2 linked regions of the Diceros bicornis minor genome follow. The protein of the gene in region 1 interacts with the protein of each later gene in a pairwise test. Links are inferred from orthologs where the notes say so. Each region holds a gene or a part of one and is shown on either strand. Other genes may lie near its edges.

Evidence for each region.
Region 2: the proteins of IPCEF1 (region 1) and CYTH2 interact in binary tests that used the Homo sapiens proteins (3 or more experiments, as listed by UniProt). The link is inferred for Diceros bicornis minor from reciprocal best matches to the Homo sapiens genes IPCEF1 and CYTH2.

Annotation. Positions count from the first base shown.
Region 1 is NC_080778.1:14,778,739-14,789,440, reverse strand, and holds the start of IPCEF1 (interactor protein for cytohesin exchange factors 1), read right to left. Parts: upstream 4,995-10,702; 5' UTR 4,869-4,994; intron 1-4,868. UniProt on the Homo sapiens protein: Enhances the promotion of guanine-nucleotide exchange by PSCD2 on ARF6 in a concentration-dependent manner.
Region 2 is NC_080773.1:24,134,365-24,145,197, forward strand, and holds the start of CYTH2 (cytohesin-2), read left to right. Parts: upstream 1-6,209; 5' UTR 6,210-6,360; coding exon 6,361-6,379; intron 6,380-7,249; coding exon 7,250-7,397; intron 7,398-7,496; coding exon 7,497-7,563; intron 7,564-8,578; coding exon 8,579-8,697; intron 8,698-9,962; coding exon 9,963-10,043; intron 10,044-10,551; coding exon 10,552-10,664; intron 10,665-10,770; coding exon 10,771-10,833. Other genes in the region: KCNJ14 (ATP-sensitive inward rectifier potassium channel 14), read left to right, coding at 1-399, 2,109-2,705. UniProt on the Homo sapiens protein: Acts as a guanine-nucleotide exchange factor (GEF). Promotes guanine-nucleotide exchange on ARF1, ARF3 and ARF6. Activates ARF factors through replacement of GDP with GTP.

The DNA.
Region 1 (10,702 bases):
TCAGAAAACGCAATGGACCATCTATTCAAAAGTCTACTGGGCTGCTGTTTCTAGTTCAATTCATGTTGCATGCTGAGTTATTTGGTTTTCACCCTGGGGAATAGGGTTTGTTGTCTGTTTCATTAATTCTTTCATTTCTAACCTTGACTAATTTTCACTGACTATCTGGTCTTTTTTTTCTTTAATTTCTTATTTATTGCAGTAACATTGGTTTATAACATTGTATAAATTTCAGGTGTACATCATCTGGTCATTTTTTATTCAGATTTTTTTGAAAGCGTTCATCCACATTCTAGTAATTTTAAGGTAAGTTTAAACTGCCTAACTTTTCACCTTTCAACTACTATTTCGACACCTGTGTCAGATTGGGAGGCCTGTCTTTGCTCACATTTGTTCGTCTTTTTGCCTCTTAGTCTGCCAACTCTCTCTCACCTGATCATTTCTAAGACAAAGACAGGCGATTCATTCCAATACCTACAAGCCAAAATATTTGATCTCAGTTAAGTCTCTGATAAGGGACTCCTCCAAACTAATAAGCTGGCATTGTGAGACGGAAGGAGCAAGATCCTAACAACAGAAATTATTTCTTGACTTCACAAAAATGTTTTTTTGACCTCTCCACGTATACCAAGATGATAAAGATATGGTAACATTCCCTAAAAAAATTAATTACTCTTATGCTGGGAAATCTAAATTTAATTTAAAGTTATTAACTATTGAATTGCTAGATAATCATTCAATTCAGGTTTAGAGACCATTATAAATCATCCACAGAAAATAACCCATTTTCATGTGATACTAGGAACTAATTAGACCAGTCAGTCCCAGATGGGACCTCGTTTGCTCGTTCTCACTTTAGAGCTGTTACGTGATTCTGTACCAGTCCTAATCTCAAAGGGGATACCCCTACAAAGGTGAAATAACATAAACTGCATCATTTCTTAGATTGCAATGAACCACAAAGCTTAGAACACTACAACTAAAAAAATACTTTTGCTGGGCCCGGCCCATGGCCAAGTGGTTAAAGTTCCCCTCGCTCCACTTTGCCGGCCCAGGTTCATGGGCCTGGATCCCGGGTGCAGACCTACTCCACTCATTAGCCATGCTGTGAAGGTGTCCCCCATACAAAATCATAGAGGAGGATTGGCATGGGTATTAGCTCAGGGCAAATCATCCTCAGCAAAAAAAAAAAAAAATACTTTTGCTTTATTTTGGTGGGAAATTAAAAGAAGGTTAAGTTTCTGTTCATTTATTTTCATTCAACATTTATTTTGTTTTCAGATTACTAAATTAGTCCAGATATGCTCCACTAGTGAAAAATTGGGGAGAAAAATGAAAAGTGCAAAGACAAATATAACCATCAGCTGTAAACCCACTATTCATAATTTACCTCAATCTTGCTTCTCTGCAACATTTTTACATAGTTGAAAAAGTTGTGTTTCTTCTTTTTTGACTAAGCATTAAATCATGACAATATTTCCATAAATATCATTTTATTGATGATATTTCTTTATATAGATATACCACCATGTGTTTAACCATCCTGATAACGAAGCTTATAACATTTATTTTTAATAAACTATTCTTAAAAAGAATCCTGATCATTTTATGAAATTTAGAAAATACAAAAAAGTACAAAGAAAAAAGCTAAATTGGTGGTTAAATTTATAAGTGTGACCGTGGTGATTTGAAAGCTGAAGAAAATATATTGATAACAGCCATTTGGTGAAGATCCATGATGTGGCAGGCACTGTGCAATCACATTTCTAATCCTCACACAACAACCCAAAATGTTCAGTCTGTTACGAGCACCACTCCACAGGTTCAGAGATCATAGAGCTGGTAAGTGGTAGATACAGATTTTTAATAGATGTGTCTGACCCTAAAACTATGTTTCCTCCTTGCTATATCACATTGCCTTTCCCATCATCACCTCCACCACCACTACCTCTATCACCACCACTAGCACCACCTCCTCTACCATCTTCTCTGCCACCACCTCCACCACCACCTCCAACACCACCCCCACCATCACCATCACTACCACCTCCAAGACCACCTGCACCATCACCTCCTCCACCACCACCACCATCACCTCCATCACCACCTCCAATACCATCCCCACCACTACCTCCACCACCACCTCCAACACCACCCCCACCATCACCATCACTACCACCTCCAAGACCACCTTCACCATCACCTCCTCCACCACCACCATCATCACCTCCACCACCACCTCCAATACCATCCCCATCATCACCATCACTACCACCTCCAAGACCACCTTCACCATCACCTCCTCCACCACCACCACCATCACCTCCACCACCACCTCCAATACCATCACCACCATCACCATCACTACTACTTCCAAGACCACCTTAGCCAGCACCGCCACCACTGTCACTTCCACCAGCTGGTCTAGCATTCCCTCTGCCACCACCTCCACGATAACCACTTCCAAGACCACCTTCACCATCACCTCCTCCACCACCACCATCATCACCTCCACCACCACCTCCAATACCATCCCCACCATCACCATCACTACCACCTCCAAGACCACCTTCACCATCACCTCCTCCACCACCACCATCATCACCTCCACCACCACCTCCAATACCATCCCCACCATCACCATCACTACCACCTCCAAGACCACCTTCACCATCACCTCCTCCACCACCACCATCATCACCTCCACCACCACCTCCAATACCATCCCCACCATCACCATCACTACCACCTCCAAGACCACCTTCAGCATCACCTCTCCACCACCACCATCATCACCTCCACCACCACCTCCAATACCATCCCCATCATCACCATCACTACCACCTCCAAGACCACCTTCACCACCACCTCCTCCACCACCATCATCACCTCCACCACCACCTCCAATACCATCACCACCATCACCATCACTACCACTTCCAGTACCATCCCCACCACCTCCACCATAACCACTTCCAAGACCACCTTCACCATCACCTCTTCCACCACCACCATCATCACCTCCACCACCACCTCCAATACCATCCCCACCATCACCATCACTACCACCTCCAAGACCACCTTCACCATCACCTCCTCCACCACCACCATCATCACCTCCACCACCACCTCCAATACCATCACCACCATCACCATCACTACCACTTCCAGTACCATCCCCACCATCACCATCACTACCACCTCCAAGACCATCCCCACCATCACCATCACTACCACTTCCAAGACCACCTTCACCATCACCTCCTCCACCACCACCATCATCACCTCCACCATCACCTTCACTGCCAGCTCCAACTGAACACCACCACATCCACCTCTAGCACCTTCACAACCTCCTCCTCCTCCATCGTCGCACCATATGGCCACTCCTAGGGCTTCTTATCATCTCTTTTCTACACACCCTTTCTTCTCTTCACATCTTCATATTCTCCTCCTCTCCTGCTTGACTCTGACCTCCTCCAATCTGCATTTCCTTAAGTACCTGGGTAACAGAGAAAGCAAAGACAACACTACCACACTCAGTTTATAAACAATCCTGATCATTCATTATTCAACACACATTTGCTCAGCGCGTACTATGGGGCAGGCACTGTTCTGAGTGCTGGGAGTACAGTAATTCCCTCATTTGCAGAATGTCCTTCCACACCGTAAAGCTTAGTTTTTACGATTTCTTTTGCTCACACACATCATTTGCCACCTTCAACTTGCTTGCAAATGGTCGAGCTGTGCTTTGGTTACAAGCTCACACTGCCTAGCCTCCAAGCTGGATGGAAAGCAGAAGTGAGCTGTTCAAGAAGGAGAGGCGAGTCAAAAGGAAAGTCTCAGGCAATCGTCATGAAGTAATTTCTTATCTCTTATTGCCACAGCGAACTACCGCAGGAAAGAACTTCCTATTTCCGTACTCAGATGATGTGTATTTGCCTAACACAGCTTGCCTGCAAGAGTTCATACATGGACCCTCTCCAGAAAAGACCCTTGATATAAAGAAAGAGAGGAAAGAAAGGAAATTAAAAAATAAATTAAAGAGTGAATACATCAACAAATACACAAACTGAAGTCCTTTTCCTCTTTATTTGCATGATGTGAGCAGAAAGAAACTCGTGTTCTTTCTATTTTCCGTGTAAAACAAATAGCTGTAGAGGAATCAGACTCTGTGTATGACTATACAATGCCCAGGACAGTACTAGAAACACACAGCCCCCTACAGACTAAAAAAGTCCACTGATATAGTCAAAGATGCCTTGGTGAGTTATAACTCTGACTCCTACAATTAAATTTCTTTCACAATATACACAAGCAAAGAAAACCCAGTGCCCCAGATGACCTTGGTAAAAACCTCTGAACCAACATCACCGAAATCCTCATTTTCATAGAGAGATATTTTGTCCAGCCTGTGACTTTTAGCTAAGAGTAAAATCCCCTCCAGCCGCTCACATACGAAAGGGGATGCTCCACAAAGAACACACTTTCTCACAAGAGGATGGCCACAGAGTGTTTCCCGAAGTGAACTTCTCAGGACCCAAACAAAGGCTGAATTGTGCTTTTCTAAGTCAAACCCATGGTCTGCAGTCCAAGCAGCTATCAATACAACATCAATTTAAGAAACTGAGAAAAGCAGAGTGAGAACAACACAACTCTCTCCTTCAAAGCTCTAACAGAATTAAAAAGTGCCATTATCACTGGACCATAGCAGCAGGTTTACGAAGAGCTGAGGAAATATTATGTCCCAAGAGTCACATCTTGGAACTCACTATTCTAAAGATAGGGTTAGAGCATCAATTGCTTTCCCATCTTGATATGCCAAGCAATGACTTCTCATACGGTAGCCAAGGAGTGATTTTACTTACATGCAATGAAAAGAGAGTAAATCCAAGAGCTGGCTCTTTATCCCTGAATTCAGAAAACTCATAATACTCTGAGGCAAAGGTTGAGGATTCCACTCTAAGCAGTCAGAGCTCTGGAGGCTCAGTCTACGCAAGACTACCATTAGAAGCTGAGCAAAGAGTAAGGCTCTTTCGAAAGAAGGGGAAGTGTCATCTCTACTTCCCCAATTTTATTGTTCTTCCTTCTTATTGTTATTGAACGCTTCCTTGATCCCAAAGTCCAGGACACAATGCATCTAAAGCAGGCACGTTCCATCTGTCCGACCTCACTGATCATTAAACACTACCTAGTGTATTCATTTCCAGGACACGTGTACGAAACACTACATGGTTTTGCTTTCCTGTTTTGGAGGCAAACATGTTTATTTACAGGCTTGGAGGGTGACATCATGTACAGAGCTGTTCTCAGTGTGTTTAGTTGAGACGCCACTGTTTTATCATCAACATCTTTTAAGTTCAATCTTCTTTCAAATTTCCCTTTTTTTCTCCTCTCCTGATAGTTCCTAATACTATACTAAGTAGAGGGTGCAGATAAATTTGTAAAAAGTATTTTAGGATAAAAATAAGTCTGAGCCTGCCATTCTTTTGCAGCACACATAATAGATTCTCCAGCTTCAAAACTTCTTTCACACACTAGAAAAGGAAAATGACAGGCTGAAAGTTAGACATATTTGAACTCATCACCTATAAATTCCTGCCCTCCCATGTCTCCTTTTCAACACCAGCATCTTGCTTCTTTATACCTTCTTGGGAAAACAACACAATTGCACCATTCTTATATCCTACTTTCAAAGAAAACAAAACAAATCATTAGAAATGGGCTCACAACCCATGCAGTTTTCCAAAATGTGGTCACTAGATCATTAGCATGTGTGTTAGTTATTTATGGCTACATGGCAGACTACCTCCAACACTTAGAGGCTTAAAACAACAAACACCTATTAACTCATAGTTTCTGTGTGTCAGGAATCTAGGCCCAGCTTAGCTGCGTTCTGTGGCTAAGGATCTCGCACAGTGTTACAGTCAACAGGTCAGCCGGGACTACAGCCATCTCAAGCCTCTGTTGGAAAAGGAAACTCTTCCAAGCTCACTCATGCAGTTGTTGGTAGGTTTCAGTTTCTCAAGGACTATGGGACTGAGCATCTCAGTTCAATGCTAGCTGTTGACCTGAAGTCACCCTCTGTTCCTTACCACATGGGTCTCTCCTTAGGGCAGCTCACAATGTGGTAGCCGGCTTTATCAGGGCAAAAAAGCAAGAGTCAAAGAGAATGAGACTGAGGAGTCCACTCCTGGGTAAACCTTCTGTGTGAACTTTCAGGCCTGCCCATCAGTAATTACAAAGGCTTTCCTCTGGCAAAGCCTTTCCCTGGGGAAAGTCGCCTTCCCCACACCAGCCTTGGTGACAGCCACTGCACTACAGCCTCTGAGGGGAGTTGCAGTCAAGGTCTCAGGGGCCCCTGCCCTGGTCAGCCATGCTCTTCTGCATATTTACATTCCCAGCCCCAGTGCCTTCATTACTAGGTCTCTTTATCTGAGACCGTGGGCCAAGGTCCCCTTCAGGTGCCTCTGCTGAGGCGTCCTTATGAAGGGACAAGGGAGAAACCTTGAAGACACTTTTCCCCACTACTCGGTCAGTACTGTTTTATTCCTAGCCCCCCTCTCACACACATACACACAACTCAGGGTCCATAAAACTGCCAGAGCCTTTTGTTGGACGTTCCCTCAACAGTGAGATGATCCCCACATCTGTGCTGGTCCACGTGCCCCTCCACAAGTGCACCATTCCACGGGGAAAATGGAACAGGGGCAGCCGGCGCTTCCTCCAGCTGTGGACTCTTGCTCATGGCCTCACAGTAAGCGACCAAAGGCTTAACTCTTTCATTTTTGGCTTCTTGCTTTAATCAGCTACTCCAACACCTGACAGCTCAGCTTTTCCTTGCCCGGCTCAGTTGAGCTCCTGACAGAAAGAGAGTATGAGCAAGACAGAAGTCACAATCTTTTGTAACCTATTCTCAGAAATGATGTCGCATCACTTTTGCCATATTCTCTTTGTTAGAAGTGAGTTACTTGGTCCAGCCTACACTCAAGAGGAGGGAATGTCACAAAATGTGCATTCTAGGAGGTGGGGACAATAGGGGGCTGGCTTACATGTTTAGATGCAGCATATGCATTTTTATCCAAACTCAAGTTGCCCCTGTCCAGCCAAATATTAACAAAAGGGAAGATTCATCTAAGGATAAAATCATAAATATAGTCAAACCACTAAAAGAAAATCTGAGACTTTCATCCACGCATTTGTATGCACTTGCAGCCCACTCTAGTCATTACCAAGATCACACTGTCCAGACCTGAAAACCTAATGACCCTCGTCATTCCATCTCCAAGAAACAGACAAATTAACATACAAGTAAAAACCTAAACTACACTATAAAACAAGCCTAGAATCTGGAAGGTGGCTGAAGCCATTTCAATAAAAAGAATAATTTTTCACCTATCCACAAGCATGAGAAAGCCTCAAGGCAAGTCCAGACCTGGAAGAGGTTTTATATAGTCACCTTAATCATTCATGTCTTTAGGATCAGAACTTCTGACACCCGGCCTTTCTTCTCTTGATGCTCAATGAACCTGCTCCTTCCTAAGAATGACCATGCAGGGCTTTATTGCCTGGAGCCCCCAGCAACCCCACACAGTACAAAAGCAGATCTCTCTTTCCATTTTCCTTTGTAAGCATAACTGCTTAAAGCAGAACAAATAGAAGATCTGTTTCCTGAGCTGCAACAACTAGGGATAAGGAGAAAAGGGCCATTCCGGGTAGAGAAGTAAATAATTCAATTGACTTGAGACCTTCCTAATTTGAAGATATGCTGATAACAGCTGACAGAAACCAGTGTGACTTGACTGGCAATAGATTAAAGGCAACATTTTCAAAAGCAAAGTGGAAATCCTCTGGATGGCATGTTTTGTGTCTCTGCTTTTTCAGAAGTTTTTTTAATTTACAGATTAAACGTAGCATCCATCCCAACATTCCCCATACCGCCCAATCCAAATGTCAATAAAAACTGTATTAAAAATAAACAATGCTGTTGGGGGAGCAGAGAAAGAGAGAATATACAACACAGTTACTATTTGGTAAAAACTTTGCCTTTAGGGAATAGATAATAATAGTTTGAAAACTACTTCAGTCTCTGATCTCAGACTTCCTCTCATTTTCTTTATACTCATTTCATGAGAAGATAAAAATTAAATTAAATCTGTGGAGGAGTGAAAGGATTAAAAGAAGATGCTGTACATTTTGACCGGGAATACCATGAAAGTTCTCTCAGTGGCTTCTTGTTTGCGTGAACTTCTGTTTCTCGAAAGTGCTGCCTCATCTTATCCCTACACCGAGCTGTTCTCTAGTTCTCTGCATTAGGTAGTATCCAAAAGTACTAGATGATATTAAAAGTGTTTAGTGACATCAATAGCAGAGACATGTTTCTCATCAGGCTTATCAAAGACATCGCCAGAGGGCATGTCATTTACAGTTATGGGGCCAGAATTAGGGCCACCTAAATTCTATGAGAAGAGATCACCTGATTTATCAAAGTGGAATAATTCTCAAGGTGGCTGGACTTCCAGTTCAAGATAGACTGGTCACAGATTCTTTTTGCTCCTTTATCTCCCTCCCAAGCCTCCATTAAAATGATAGGAAAATTATAGAAAATATATAAACCAACAATAACAAAAAAAAAAATAGGAAGAGGATTAGAGCTTGAGAGACCTCAATAGATTTCTGGAAGATGGGATGACAGAGGACGGGATGAAGGAGGACAGGGGAACCACAGCTTACCATCAGCAAGAAGGACACTACGGTAGAGAAACTGACCATTTGTGATGCACAATTCCTGGGAGGATCAGGACTCAAAAAGCCAGGAGAACTTAGAAAATCTAAATCAGTGAGGGAGCTGAAAATAGGAAGATTAATTGAAAGTCTGTAAGAACCTGGCCCCTCTCTGGGGGCCGGCCCAGAGAGGGGCTCTGGTGGCACAGCGGTTAAGTGCGCACTCCGCTTCAGCTGCCCTGGGTTCACAGGCCCAGATCCCGGCGCGCACTGACGCACCGCTTGTCAAGCCATGCTGTGGTGGCGTCCATATAAAGTGGAGGAAGATGGGCACAGATGTTAGCCCAGGGCCAATCTTTCTTGGCAAAAAGAGGAAGATTGGCATCCGATGTTAGCTCAGGGCTGATCTTCCTCATTAAAAAAAAAAAAAAAAAAAAGAACTTAGCCCCTCTCCCTTACCCCTCTTTCAAATATCTCTATCCTTCCAGCCTTTACACAGCAAACACAAACGATGGCAAGCAGCCATTTCAGCCCCACCTCAAGCAATATTATGGAGGATTCTTCTCTAAAAATATTGAAATTGTGCAGAGAATACAGTCAACGTATGCATATATGGGCACTCCAGAGTGAAAACTCCACATTCTGGTGTAAGAGCGTCACTCAGTATGTACTGGGTCATAACATCATCTCCCTGTTTGGCAACTACGAAATGTTGTAGGAAATGGGAAAAAATGGCCTTGCAATCAGTATCCTTACAGGTATTCTTGAAGATACTGTATCCATAAAGAAGAACAGGATGCTAAGAAAAATATATATTCTGAGAACAAGAAAGAACTCTTGGATATTATAAATATGTTTGCCAAAGAAAGATTTTAATGGAAGGCTTGGATGATAAATTCAAGTAAATCTTTCAGGAAATATTCAATGACCTCATCAAAGAAATAACATAAAAGATTTCCCTTAAGCAAAGTCCATGAGTATTTGGATTAAAAGTTCCCACTGAGTGCCCAGAGTGAAGAATTTTGAGTTACTATAAAATTCCCAAACACCAGAGACAAAAAGAAAATCCTAAAATCTCCCAAATAGAGAAAACAAGTCACTTCCACGGGACAAGGAACTGAAAGTGTCCAGATTTCTCTGAAAGTAGCGTTGAAGGTTAGAAGACAAATGAGCAAAACCTCTCAAGTTCTGCAGGACCTTAATTTCATGCTAGAGTTCTAATTCATTGATTCAGCAAATATTTCGGAGCACTGTTCTTGGCGCTGGGGACACAACAGGGAATGGACAATAAGGAACATCGTGCCCTCAGGAGCCTTCTGTTCTCTCGCTCCAATCAGGATGGTGTGCCCTCTAAACGAGATAAGTCACATCTAATGTGTTAGGTAGTAATAAGGGCTAAGGAAGAAAAAAAATAAAGTGGAATAAGAAACATAGAGAATCTAGGCATAAAATTAGGCTAAAAATCAAGTGAGGTGGCCAGGGAAGGACTCACAGAGAAGGTGACCTCTGAGTAATGATCTGAAGGAAGTGAAGTGAGCCAGCAGACAACTGAGGAAAGTGTGACCGGCAGTGGAAACAGCAAATGCAAAAGTCCTGAGGCCACCAGAGTCTGACTGGTACACTGAAAGAACAGCAAGGAGGTGGGTTTGGCCAGAGCAGAGGAGAAGAAGGGGTCAGAAAGTTAAAGGGAAACCATACACAATTATGGTTAGGTCGCATGGGGCCATAGTAAGAACTTGGGGTTTTGACTCTGACCAACTAAACCAGGAGTCCACTAACTTTTTCTGTAAAGGGTTAGATAGTAAATATTTAAATAGTAAATACTCACAGTTCACCTATGCAACTCTGCCATTGTAGTGTGAAAGCAGCCATAGGCAATATGAAAGCGAATGAACAAGACCGTGTTCCAATAAAACTTTATTTGTGGGCACTAGAATTTGAATTGCTTGTCATTTTTGTGCATCATGAAATATTCTTC
Region 2 (10,833 bases), on another chromosome or scaffold:
CTGGCCTTCTGGCTCATCGCCTCGCTGCACGGCGACCTGGCCGCCCCGCCGCCGCCCGCGCCCTGCTTCTCGCAGGTGGCCAGCTTCCTGGCCGCCTTCCTCTTCGCGCTGGAGACGCAGACGTCCATCGGCTACGGCGTGCGCAGCGTCACCGAGGAGTGCCCGGCCGCCGTGGCCGCCGTGGTGCTGCAGTGCATCGCCGGCTGCGTGCTCGACGCCTTCGTCGTGGGCGCCGTCATGGCCAAGATGGCCAAGCCCAAGAAGCGCAACGAGACGCTCGTCTTCAGCGAGAACGCCGTCGTGGCGCTGCGCGACCGCCGCCTCTGCCTCATGTGGCGCGTGGGCAACCTGCGCCGCAGCCACCTCGTCGAGGCCCACGTGCGTGCCCAGCTGCTGCAGGTGCGGGTCGCCGGGGTGGAGGACCGCGGCCCCGGGAGGCAGGGCGGGGCCCTTCGTGGCGCTGGCGGGAGCCCTGGGGGGTTGTGGGAGATGTAGGCCTGAGGGCGAGGTGTGCGTGGGACCTGGAGGGTGCGTGGACTACAATTCCCAGCAGTCTCTTGGGCAGGGGCCCTCCCGCCCCGCTTCTGGACAGAGGCTGGTTGGGGGAGCAGTTGTAGGAGATGTAAACCAAAGAGAGAAGTCTGTGACCTCTTCATTTCTTCTTGGAGGCCTAGACTTGAAACAGATCTGGAGACATAAAGAGCTTCCTGTGGCTTGAGGATCGGCCCTCTATGGGATTGTGGGAAATCTAGACCTGAGAGGGCCACACCTGGGCTGTAAAGGCTCCGAACTACAATTCCCAGAAGCCTCTGGGGGCAGAGACAGTGCCCAGATGGGGTGGTCTGAGGAGATGATGTAGGTTTGGGGGTGGTGTAAACCACGGCTCAGATTTACGATTCTCAGCTGACACTGTGGTACAGAGAATGGACTATGACTTGAGGCAGGCCCCTATGGGATTGTGGGAGATGTAGGCTCGAAGATGGGTGCAGCTCGCACCTGCAGAAACGTGAACACAATTCTGCATGACCTCTGGGCATGGGGGTCCTGCAGCATTTGTGGGAGACTTCATTCGCTACCTCAGTGGCCCAGTCTCTCCCACCAGGGTCTTGCTTGGAGGAGTACAGGGCAGGGGTTGGGAAATTCTTGAATTTTAACTTCTGAGCAAAAAGCAAAAAACAACTACGAGGGCTGGCCCCGTGGCTTAGCGGTTAAGTGCGCGCACTCCGATGCTGGCGGCCCGGGTTCGGATCCCCGGCGCGCACTGACGCACCGCTTCTCTGGCCACGCTGAGGCTGTGTCCCACATACAGCAACTAGAAGGATGTGCAACTATGACATACAACTATCTAGTGGGGCTTTGGGGGAAAAATAAATAAATAAAATTATTAAAAAAAAAAAAAAAAAAACAACTACAACTCCCCTTGGCCCCTTGAGTAACGGCGCCCTGAAGAAGGCAACTTAGTGTTTCTAGAATTGTGGTCAAACTACGCAAACAAATTCTGAGGCAGTAGCTGCCCTCGCCCAAGGAAAGACACTTAACAACCCTGAGCTGAGGTTGGACGTGGGTGAGAGGGAGGATGGGGCGGTGGTGGGAACTACAACTCCCAGCAGCGCCTGCGGGCTCCCGGAGACAGTTGCAAAAGAATGGGTCCCGTCCCGTCCCGCCCCCCGCCCCGACCCCCTAGTCGCCTGCTTGACTGTTAGAGACACCAGGAGGGATACTGCCTCTCCCAGAAGTCTGTGGGACTGGTCCAATTGCTGGTTGGATGTCCTTCTCTTCTGTTGCCTCTTTAATTTCGTCTCTGACTTGCTGATTTCTGTGGCTCTTTGCCAATATCACTCTGTCCTTCTCTCTTTATCTCTGAGCCTCCATCCTCCCCTCCCTGGGGCTCTGTCTCCCTCTCTCGGTCTCTGTCCCTTTCCCCATGTCTCTGTCCTCCTCTCTGTCTGGGTCACCATCCCCCTCTCTCTGGCTCCATGTTCTCACCCCACCCCGACCCTTGCCGGTCGCTGCCCTCCTCTTTCTCTATATCATTCCTTTCTCTCCCTGTCTCTGTTCATCTCTGTGCTCCCTGCTGTCTATCTTTGGCCCCTCACTTTTCGCTGCAGCCTCGCGTGACCCCAGAGGGTGAGTACATCCCGCTGGACCACCAGGATGTGGACGTGGGCTTTGATGGTGGCACCGATCGCATCTTCCTCGTGTCTCCCATCACCATCGTGCACGAGATCGACTCTGCCAGTCCTCTGTATGAACTAGGACGTGCCGAGCTAGCCCGGGCCGACTTTGAGCTGGTGGTCATTCTCGAGGGCATGGTTGAGGCCACGGCTATGACCACACAGTGTCGCTCTTCCTACCTTCCTGGTGAGCTGCTCTGGGGCCATCGTTTTGAGCCAGTCCTCTTCCAGCGTGGCTCCCAGTATGAGGTCGACTATCGCCACTTCCATCGCACTTACGAGGTCCCAGGGACACCGGTCTGCAGCGCCAAGGAGCTGGATGAACGGGCAGAGCAGGCTTCCCACAGCCCCAAGTCTAGCTTCCCTGGCTCTCTGGCTGCATTTTGTTATGAGAATGAACTTGCTCTGAGCTGCTGCCAGGAGGAAGAGGAGGAAGAGGAAACCAAGGAGGGGGATGGGGCAGAGGCAGAAGATGAGGCTGCCAGCCCCCGAGTACTCACACCAACCCTGGCGCTGACCCTGCCCCCGTGATGTGAGCTGGTGTCTCCCTATTTGTACTCCCTTCCCAGAGGTAGCAAGATGGAGAGATTTGGCCCTCTCCTGGGATGGGGGCAGGTATTTCCCAAGACCAACAGGCCTGCTGGATAAATTATTAGCTGGTGAAGCTCTGCCATGCCTAGTGGACCCACCACAGACATACTGGACCTTAATTCCTCTGCATTCCATGCTCCCTCTTGAGACCCCTTTGTCAGCCCGATTCCTGAGCCTCACCAGAGCTGAGGGATCCAGAATTCTGGACCACCCGAGAGGCAAGGACCGGTGGTTCCAGATTCCTCTATACGGCTGACTTGGGTTGTTGAGCAGGGTCAGGAATCAATGGTATAGACTGTCTCTGGGAGAGGAAGTTGGCAGTTCTTGAGCAGCAATAGAGATCAAGAGTTTGTAGCTCTGGATTGACCAAAGATTCAAGGGACTGTTGCTTCTAGACTCAGCCAACCAAGTAGCAAATCATTTTTTCTACACCACCTAAGGAGGGAAAGTTATGGAATGCCCCAAGAATTCAAGACTATCTTGATTGACCAATGACAAGGAATGTTGACTGCAAGTCAACAAAAGACCTTGTGGTTCCAGAAAGCCCCAAAGTTGAGATTCTGTGAATCTAGATTGACCACAGAGACAAGCAGTGGTAATTCTAGAACAGGTTTGACCTAGGGAGTTGAACTACTCCAGAAACTAGACTTATGTTTCTAGAATGCACAAAACAATAGTGAGTCTGTGGGTCTAGAAGGACTACAGTGACAGACTGGGAGTTCTTGATATTAGATAACTCCAGACCACTGGCTGTAGAACATCGAAGCGAGGGGATAATCAATGCTTCTAAATGATCCACAGGTTTTTTTTTTTTAAGTGCCATTCTAGAATGTCCAAAGGAATCAGGATTCTGTGGCTCTAGATTGATCATAGAGTCAAAGAAGGAGTGGTGATCCTAGATATGTCTGAGATTGGCTGGTTCCAGTTTGCCCAGTGGAGTTGAGAATCTTGATGATTCCACATGACTTCTTTGTGGTTCTGTAATGCCAAAGGAATCAAGGCTCCAGGGATCCAGAGTTGTCCATTATCAAAACCTGGAAGTTCTAATCAGCTCCTAGAACTTGGCAGTTCTAGGAGGTGGACTCAGGACTCGATAGGCAGCATTTCTGGGCTGACCTAGAAGGTGTGGGTAACAGGGCTACTTATTGGGCAAGGGAAGGGAGAGGCCCAAGGCTGGTGAGTCTGCAATCCTCTGGAATTCTACACCTAGCAATGTGTGTCTATTTCTTAAAGATGTTATACATACATGTATTATACATATATAATATAAATACAGATATCTATCTATTTTTTCCCGTGGTTCCTACAGAAGGGTTAGAAATTGAGCTTGAGCTAATTGGAATAAGATCCTTTACAAGGATCCAGGAAGCTTTGCTCTAAATCCCAACTCTGTTCTAACTTACTGTGTGACTTTGGGCACATCACTCCCCTCGCTTTGCCTCAGTTTCCCCATCTGTACAAATGGGGCATTGGAACTTGAAGGTCTCCAAGGGCCTTTCCACCAGGATGATTCCCCACTTCACTGAGGGTGAGGGTCCTGGGATTCTCCAGATCTCGCTGATGCTGGAAAGCTCGGCTTTCGAGGGGCAACTGGGATGGGAGATGATCTTGGAGGCCAGCTCTGAACCTGGGTGTCTGAATCACAGGCAGGCTAGGGGTAGTATGGGCTGTGGCTAAGGGCCAGAATCACGGCCTTCCTGGTCCAGCTTGGGGGTCAGGGGAAAGAGCAGGTAGCTCTGAATGCCAGGGGAAAGGTTGTGTTTAGGGATTAAATCACTGGGAGCCCTGGTGGTGTGTCTGTGAGTGTGTTTCTGGGGCACGGGTCCATGCTGCCATCCACCTAAGTGCCCAGCAGACTGGGAGCCAGCCGCAGAAGGAGCCAGTGCCAGGGGGAGGACATGTTCCCATCTCTGTGTCCCAAGACTGAGGGCAGGCACCGTCATTGCCCATTAGCCTAAGTGCTGCATCACGCCAGGTCCCTCCTTCTGGCTTCCATCTCCCTTTATCCTTCAGAATCCCCACGTAATCACCGGATGGGATTAATTAGCTGCTGCTCTCCCAGCTCAGGGTGTCCAGGGTAGGGACTGGGGGCAGTGGAACCACAGGGGTGGAGGAGGATGTTAAGTTGGGGATGAAGGGGCAGGAAAAGGGTTCTGTTTGGAAGGAGGGAGAGTGGGGGCACGGCGGGCACAGGCTGGGCTTCCACCGGGGAGGGCAGAGCCTGGGCCACTCATAAAGGTCAGTGAGGGGATTAGGAGGCTCCCTGTCTAATCTGTCAGCTTAACCAGGTCCCAGCCCCGAATCCGTCCCCACCTGCGAGCCCAGGGACGGCGACTGAGGACGAGGCCCAGACACCACCTCAGACCCAATTAGGGACCTGCCCGTGACAGGGGTGCCCAGGTTCTCCATCGCAGCCGAGCCCCTGCACCCGCTTTGCCTGCAAGGAATGGGAATGAGAGGCTGGAGAGGGGGAAGGGCCTCAGATGCGGGAGGCCTCCGAGAGGAGGGAGGAGTTTATGAAGAGCGAGAGTATGAGAGGTGGGGGAGTGAAGTGGGGCGAGTCGGAGAGGAGGGAAAAGACTCTGAGAAGGGGGAAGGAATCAGAGGTGGGAGGCTGCTGAGGAAAAGGGAGTTGTCCTTGGGGGATGCTAAGGTTAGGGGAGGAGTTTGGGGGAGAGGGAGGAGCCTGAGAGGCAGACGGCGCCAGGAAGTCGGAGCCTGTGCTTTCACTATATTTGGCCTTCTACCGTCCCATTCTCCATGACAGACGCCAAAGAGCATAGCATTTGGGAGAAAGAATAAGTCTTTTGTTTCACCACTCCTTGACTCCGAAGAGGCTAAGGTGGATGGGATCAGGGGACGGGGTAACAAAAGGGTCTGAATAACAGAGGGGCCAGTGCCAGGAGGAAGGAGGCCAAAAGAAAGGTGAGCCAAAGCTGCTCCCGGTTGCGTGGCAACCGCTGCGGTCAAAAGCCAGCTGGGCCTGCTAGGAGGTGTGGCTCACGGAAACAACCGGCTGTTGTGGTCCCGCCCCCTGGCAACAAGACTAACAAAGTACCGCCCCCCAGCAACGTATTGCTAGAGGTGGGGCTCGGTTCAATTAGTATCCTAGAGCTCGGAGCCCTTGCGCAGGCGCAGTCCTCTCTGCTGCCGCATATGTCTCTCCATGCCATTCTTTTCCAAGGCTTCTCATTGGCGGGCAAGCCAGCCAAGTGCCTTCTTTTGTTTCGGAGGCGGGGCCTGGCGTTCTGCCCGCGCTCCGATTGGCCCCACAGACCGTCTACCTCCGGCCGGACTTTGCTACGTCTGCTCCTTGCGCGCCTATTGGCCCTGGAGGACGATCCTTCAGCGTCGGGGGCGGAGCAGACGAGAGGGCCCGCCGTGGATTGGACGGTGTCAAAACGAGGGGCGGTCCCGACTGGCGGGGCGGTCGGGAGGCGAAGGGAGAGTCTTTTCAGCGCTGAGGACTGGCGCTGAGGAGGCGGCGGTGGCTCCCGGGGCGTTTGAGCGGGCTCACCCGAGCCCGCGGGCCAACGCGGATCCAGGCCCGACCGGCGGGACCGCCCCGGACTCCCCGCGGGCCTTCCTAGCCGCCATGGAGGACGGTGTCTATGGTAGGTCGCGGAGGGGCGGGGCCGGCTGGGAGCGGATGGAGCGTTCCGTCCCGAACGTTCCGCCGCGAACGTGCCTCCCGGCGCGCGCGGCGTGGCGTCTCTCGGCCCCGTCGTCGCGTCGCCTTTGTGGGGCGCGGGACGGGCTTCCGGCGGGGCCCGAGAGCGGGGCGTTCCAGGCCATTGTTTGGGCCGAGCCTGTTTCCGGTGGCGGCGGGAGGGGGCGGGATGGAGCGGCGGAGGCGAGGCCGGGGCGGACCCATTCCCGCTGGAGGGGCCGGGCGAGCCCGGGGCCTGCCGGGAGCGGGGAGGGGGGTTCGGGGGGCGGGGAGAAATCTTGGGGGCTGCAGAGATCCCGCTGAGGCGGGGGCCGTCGATGCCCCGCCCCCTTCCCCAATTCTTCCAAGCTGTCACCCGCTTTTCCTGCCGTAGTTACTTTTCCTGGTCCCGGGAGTCAGGACACCCCGGCCCCCAGCCACCTCGCCGGGAATGGAGGCAGAAAACCCGGGCCTCAGTCCCCTTCCAAGTAATGGACCAAGCAGTTCGGGCTTCCAGCCCTTTCTCTCCCCGGACCTAAGAGTTCAGGCTCCCAGTCCCCTTCTCCCTTAGACTGAGGAGTCCGGATCCCAAGCCCCCTCCTCTCCCAGCCCAGGACTCAAGAGGCTAGATCCCAGCCCTTCCTCCCCTGGACTGAGGAATCCAGGCCCCCAGCCCCCTTTTCCAGCAGACATAGGAGGCCCGACCCTCATCCTCATCTTCCCCCTGAATCTAGGAGTCCTGTCCCCCTCCCCCAGCTGTGGCCTCCCCACATTGCAGGATGCCAGGCTCCCAGTCCCGCAAAACTGACCTCCAACCCCTGATCCCGCCCCCCAGAGCCCCCAGACCTGACTCCGGAGGAGCGGATGGAGCTGGAGAACATCCGGCGGCGGAAGCAGGAGCTGCTGGTGGAGATCCAGCGCCTGCGGGAGGAGCTCAGCGAAGCCATGAGCGAAGTGGAGGGTCTGGAGGCCAATGAGGGCAGGTGAGGGCTGGGGCAGGGAACTTGGGGGTCATGGGACCTGGCTGGGGCTGGGGATGCCCAGGCATTGACCTTCCGTCCCCCGGCTCTCTGCCCCTGCAGTAAGACCTTGCAACGGAACCGGAAGATGGCAATGGGCAGAAAAAAGTTCAACATGGACCCCAAAAAGGTGCTTGGGGCACAGGGCTGGGGTGAGCCATGCAGACATCCAGACAGGAGGTTCTGGCATCTTCAGGTTCCAGAAGTGTGATAGTTAAAGATTTACATTAGGTAGACAGACTTGGTTCTAATCCCTGGGTTCAGATAGTGGCTGTCTGTTTGTTCTCAGGACACTAACCTTTGCCTGTGCTGTGTCCTCTGCCTGGGGGAGTCCTCTTCCCCTTTGTATTCATATTCCTGGACCCACTTCTGGTGTCACTTAGAGCCCCAGGAGGAGCTTGAGTCTGGTAGGGAACATAGACAGTGACACGCCCTAAAGGTTGACAAGTGCCAGGACAGAGGGAGGTCCTGGGGGCTGTGGACACTCAGAGGAGGGAGCCTGGTGGAGTCAGGGAGGGCTTCCCCGAGGAGGGGACATTCAGGTCAGGTTTGAAGGATGAGTCAGTGTTCACCAGGTGGAGGAAAGATGTTTGTGCATTCAGTCATTCATTTACACCCATTTCCTAAGGCTTCCTCTGGGCCTGTCCCTCTGCTGGGGAATGCTGGGGACCCAGAGAAGAGTTTGACCCTACCTTGCCCTCAGGGAGCCCCTAGACACAGATACCACAATCCAGAGTGAGAGAGAGCTATGATGGAGGTCCTCATGGCATAGGGAGAGCCAGAGAAGACCCTGGTCCAGCCCGAGGCTTGGCCCTCACAGCCCTTGATGGACTGCTGTCTGCTGACAGTTTCTCACTTCATGCTTCTTGCCTGAAGCAATTGTATTTTGTTCAGTCATTCAGCAAACAAGAGTTCTTGTTCCTGCTCTCGGTGTTGGAATTAACCAGGCAAAGGCAGAGGGAACAGTAGGAGCAAAGGCTCTGAGGTGGGAGAAATAGTATGTAAGGACCTGTGAGAAGCCTGAAAATGAAGCCTGGCCCTGCTTTGTTGGGGATGGGGTTGGGTTGGGCTGCCAAGGTTTCCGAGGAGGTGGTGGGAAATGCCCCTCTAGCTCTCAGCACTGAGACCTGGCTCCCACCTACCAGGGGATCCAGTTCTTGGTGGAGAATGAACTTCTGCAGAACACACCCGAGGAGATCGCCCGCTTCCTGTACAAAGGCGAGGGCCTGAATAAGACGGCCATCGGGGACTACCTGGGGGAGAGGTGAGACACCCCCCCCCCCGCAGCTCTTCTGGGCCTCTCCCCATGGCCCCCTGCACCCAGCTCCTGCCCTCACACTGCCAGCTCCTCTCCCAAGGAGAGGCCCTGATAGACCAGCTTTCCGACTGGACTATGACAGGATGGAGTGACACAGGGGTCCAGGGGAGCCTGGCCCCATCTGTGAGCATCGTGGGGAGCTTTGTGGACATCTAGGAATTGTAGGGACCATCCATGTAGGTCTGGGGACAGTGGAGAACATCTGAGTGTCATGAGAGCATGAGAAGCATGTGTAGACAACTGGTGTGCATGGGAACTGTGTGGCCAGCTAGGAAGTGTGGGGACCTTCAGTGGATATCCAGGGAGCACGGGGACCCGGAGGACATCTGGGAGCATGAGGACCATCTGTGGACGTCTGGGGTGTGGGTACCATCTAGAAGTCTATGAGACTGGACATGAGGAGTGTATGGGGACCATCTGTGGATGTCTGGGACACGTGGGGCTTTATGGACATCAGGAGTGCATGGATATCGGGAATGTGGGGACTGTCTGGACACCTAAGATGCACGGGGACCTTCTGTGACATCTGGGAAACCTGAGGATAATCTGTGAGCATCTGGGGTGCGTGGAGACCGACTGGACATCTGAGGTGCACAGGACCATCTGTGGATGTCTGGAGTGCTTAGGGATTGGGTGGACATCTAGGGTGTGTGGAACTTTCTGGACATCTGAGGTGCATGGGGACCATCAATGGACATCTGGGGGGCATGGAGACTGGGGATGTGGGGACTGTAGATGTCTAGGAACCATCTGTGGGCATCTGGGGTATGTGGGGGCCATCTGTAGATGTCTGGGGATCATCTGTGACGTCTGGGGTGTGTGGAGACCGTCTATGGCCATCTGGCATTGTGGGGATTGTTTTGTGGGCATCTAGGGGGGTGAGGGCCATCTGCAGACATCTGTGGAACCTGGGGGTCACCTGAGACGGGTGACAGTAGGCGGAGCACACGTTTGCTGCGTGTCTCCCAGCTGTACAAAGGTCCAGCCAAACCATGGTTCTCGAGGCAGATGGTCCTCTCAAGAGCGTGTTCTCAGTATCCCTGCCCGTGTGCCAGGCCTGTGATGGGGTCCACGTCCAAACTTCAGCTGCTACAGAGGCAGCTGCCGTGCAGAAGAGGTGGCTCAGCCTCCCCCGTGCTTTGCCTCCTGTCCACTCTCACTCCACCCTCCCCAGACTTTTCCTGAGCATGACTTTGTCCCTGTCCTCCCAGGGAAGAGCTGAACCTGGCAGTGCTCCACGCCTTTGTGGATCTGCATGAATTCACTGACCTCAATCTGGTGCAGGCCCTCAGGTGAGAGGGACAGGGTTGGAAGGGCAGGACTGTACCCGTCAGGGCTTTCTTTACAAGTGATGACACCTACTCAAGACAAAAACAGAAAGAAAAATTAGGGAATTGATTGCCTCGTGCAATGCAAAATTCCATGGTAGGGCCTTCTTCAGGCATAGATGTATCCAGGTGCTCAAATGGTGTCAGAAGGTCAACTTTGTCTCTTGGTTGTGCTCGCCACTGTGTTGGCATTGCTCTCTGCAGACTCTCCTGCCACGTGATAACAGAAGCCCCTAGCAACCATCAGATCTGTTTAGCAACCTTAGTAGAAGGAAAGGCTTTTTCTGTATAAGTACACCAAAAGTCCCATGGCCAATGCTCATTGGTCAGGTTGGATCATGTGTCCATACTTGAAACAGCTGCCGAGGCCACAAGGTCTGGAGCTCTCATTGCCACTCCCTGACACAGGGACTGAGAGTGGGAGGGGCTTCCGCCAGTCCTGGTATCCACACTCGGCCCCTCTCTAACCCAGACAATTTCTATGGAGCTTCCGCCTCCCCGGAGAGGCCCAGAAGATTGACCGGATGATGGAAGCCTTCGCCCAGCGATACTGTCTGTGCAACCCCGGGGTCTTCCAGTCCACAGGTGGGGGACTCGGAAGGAGGGGCCCGGGACCCGGACTCGGGGGGCCTGGGAAGGAGGGCCGGGGGCCCGCATACCTGTGTCATCACCACCTGCCTGTCTGGCGCAGACACGTGCTACGTGCTGTCCTTCGCCGTGATCATGCTGAACACCAGCCTCCACAATCCCAACG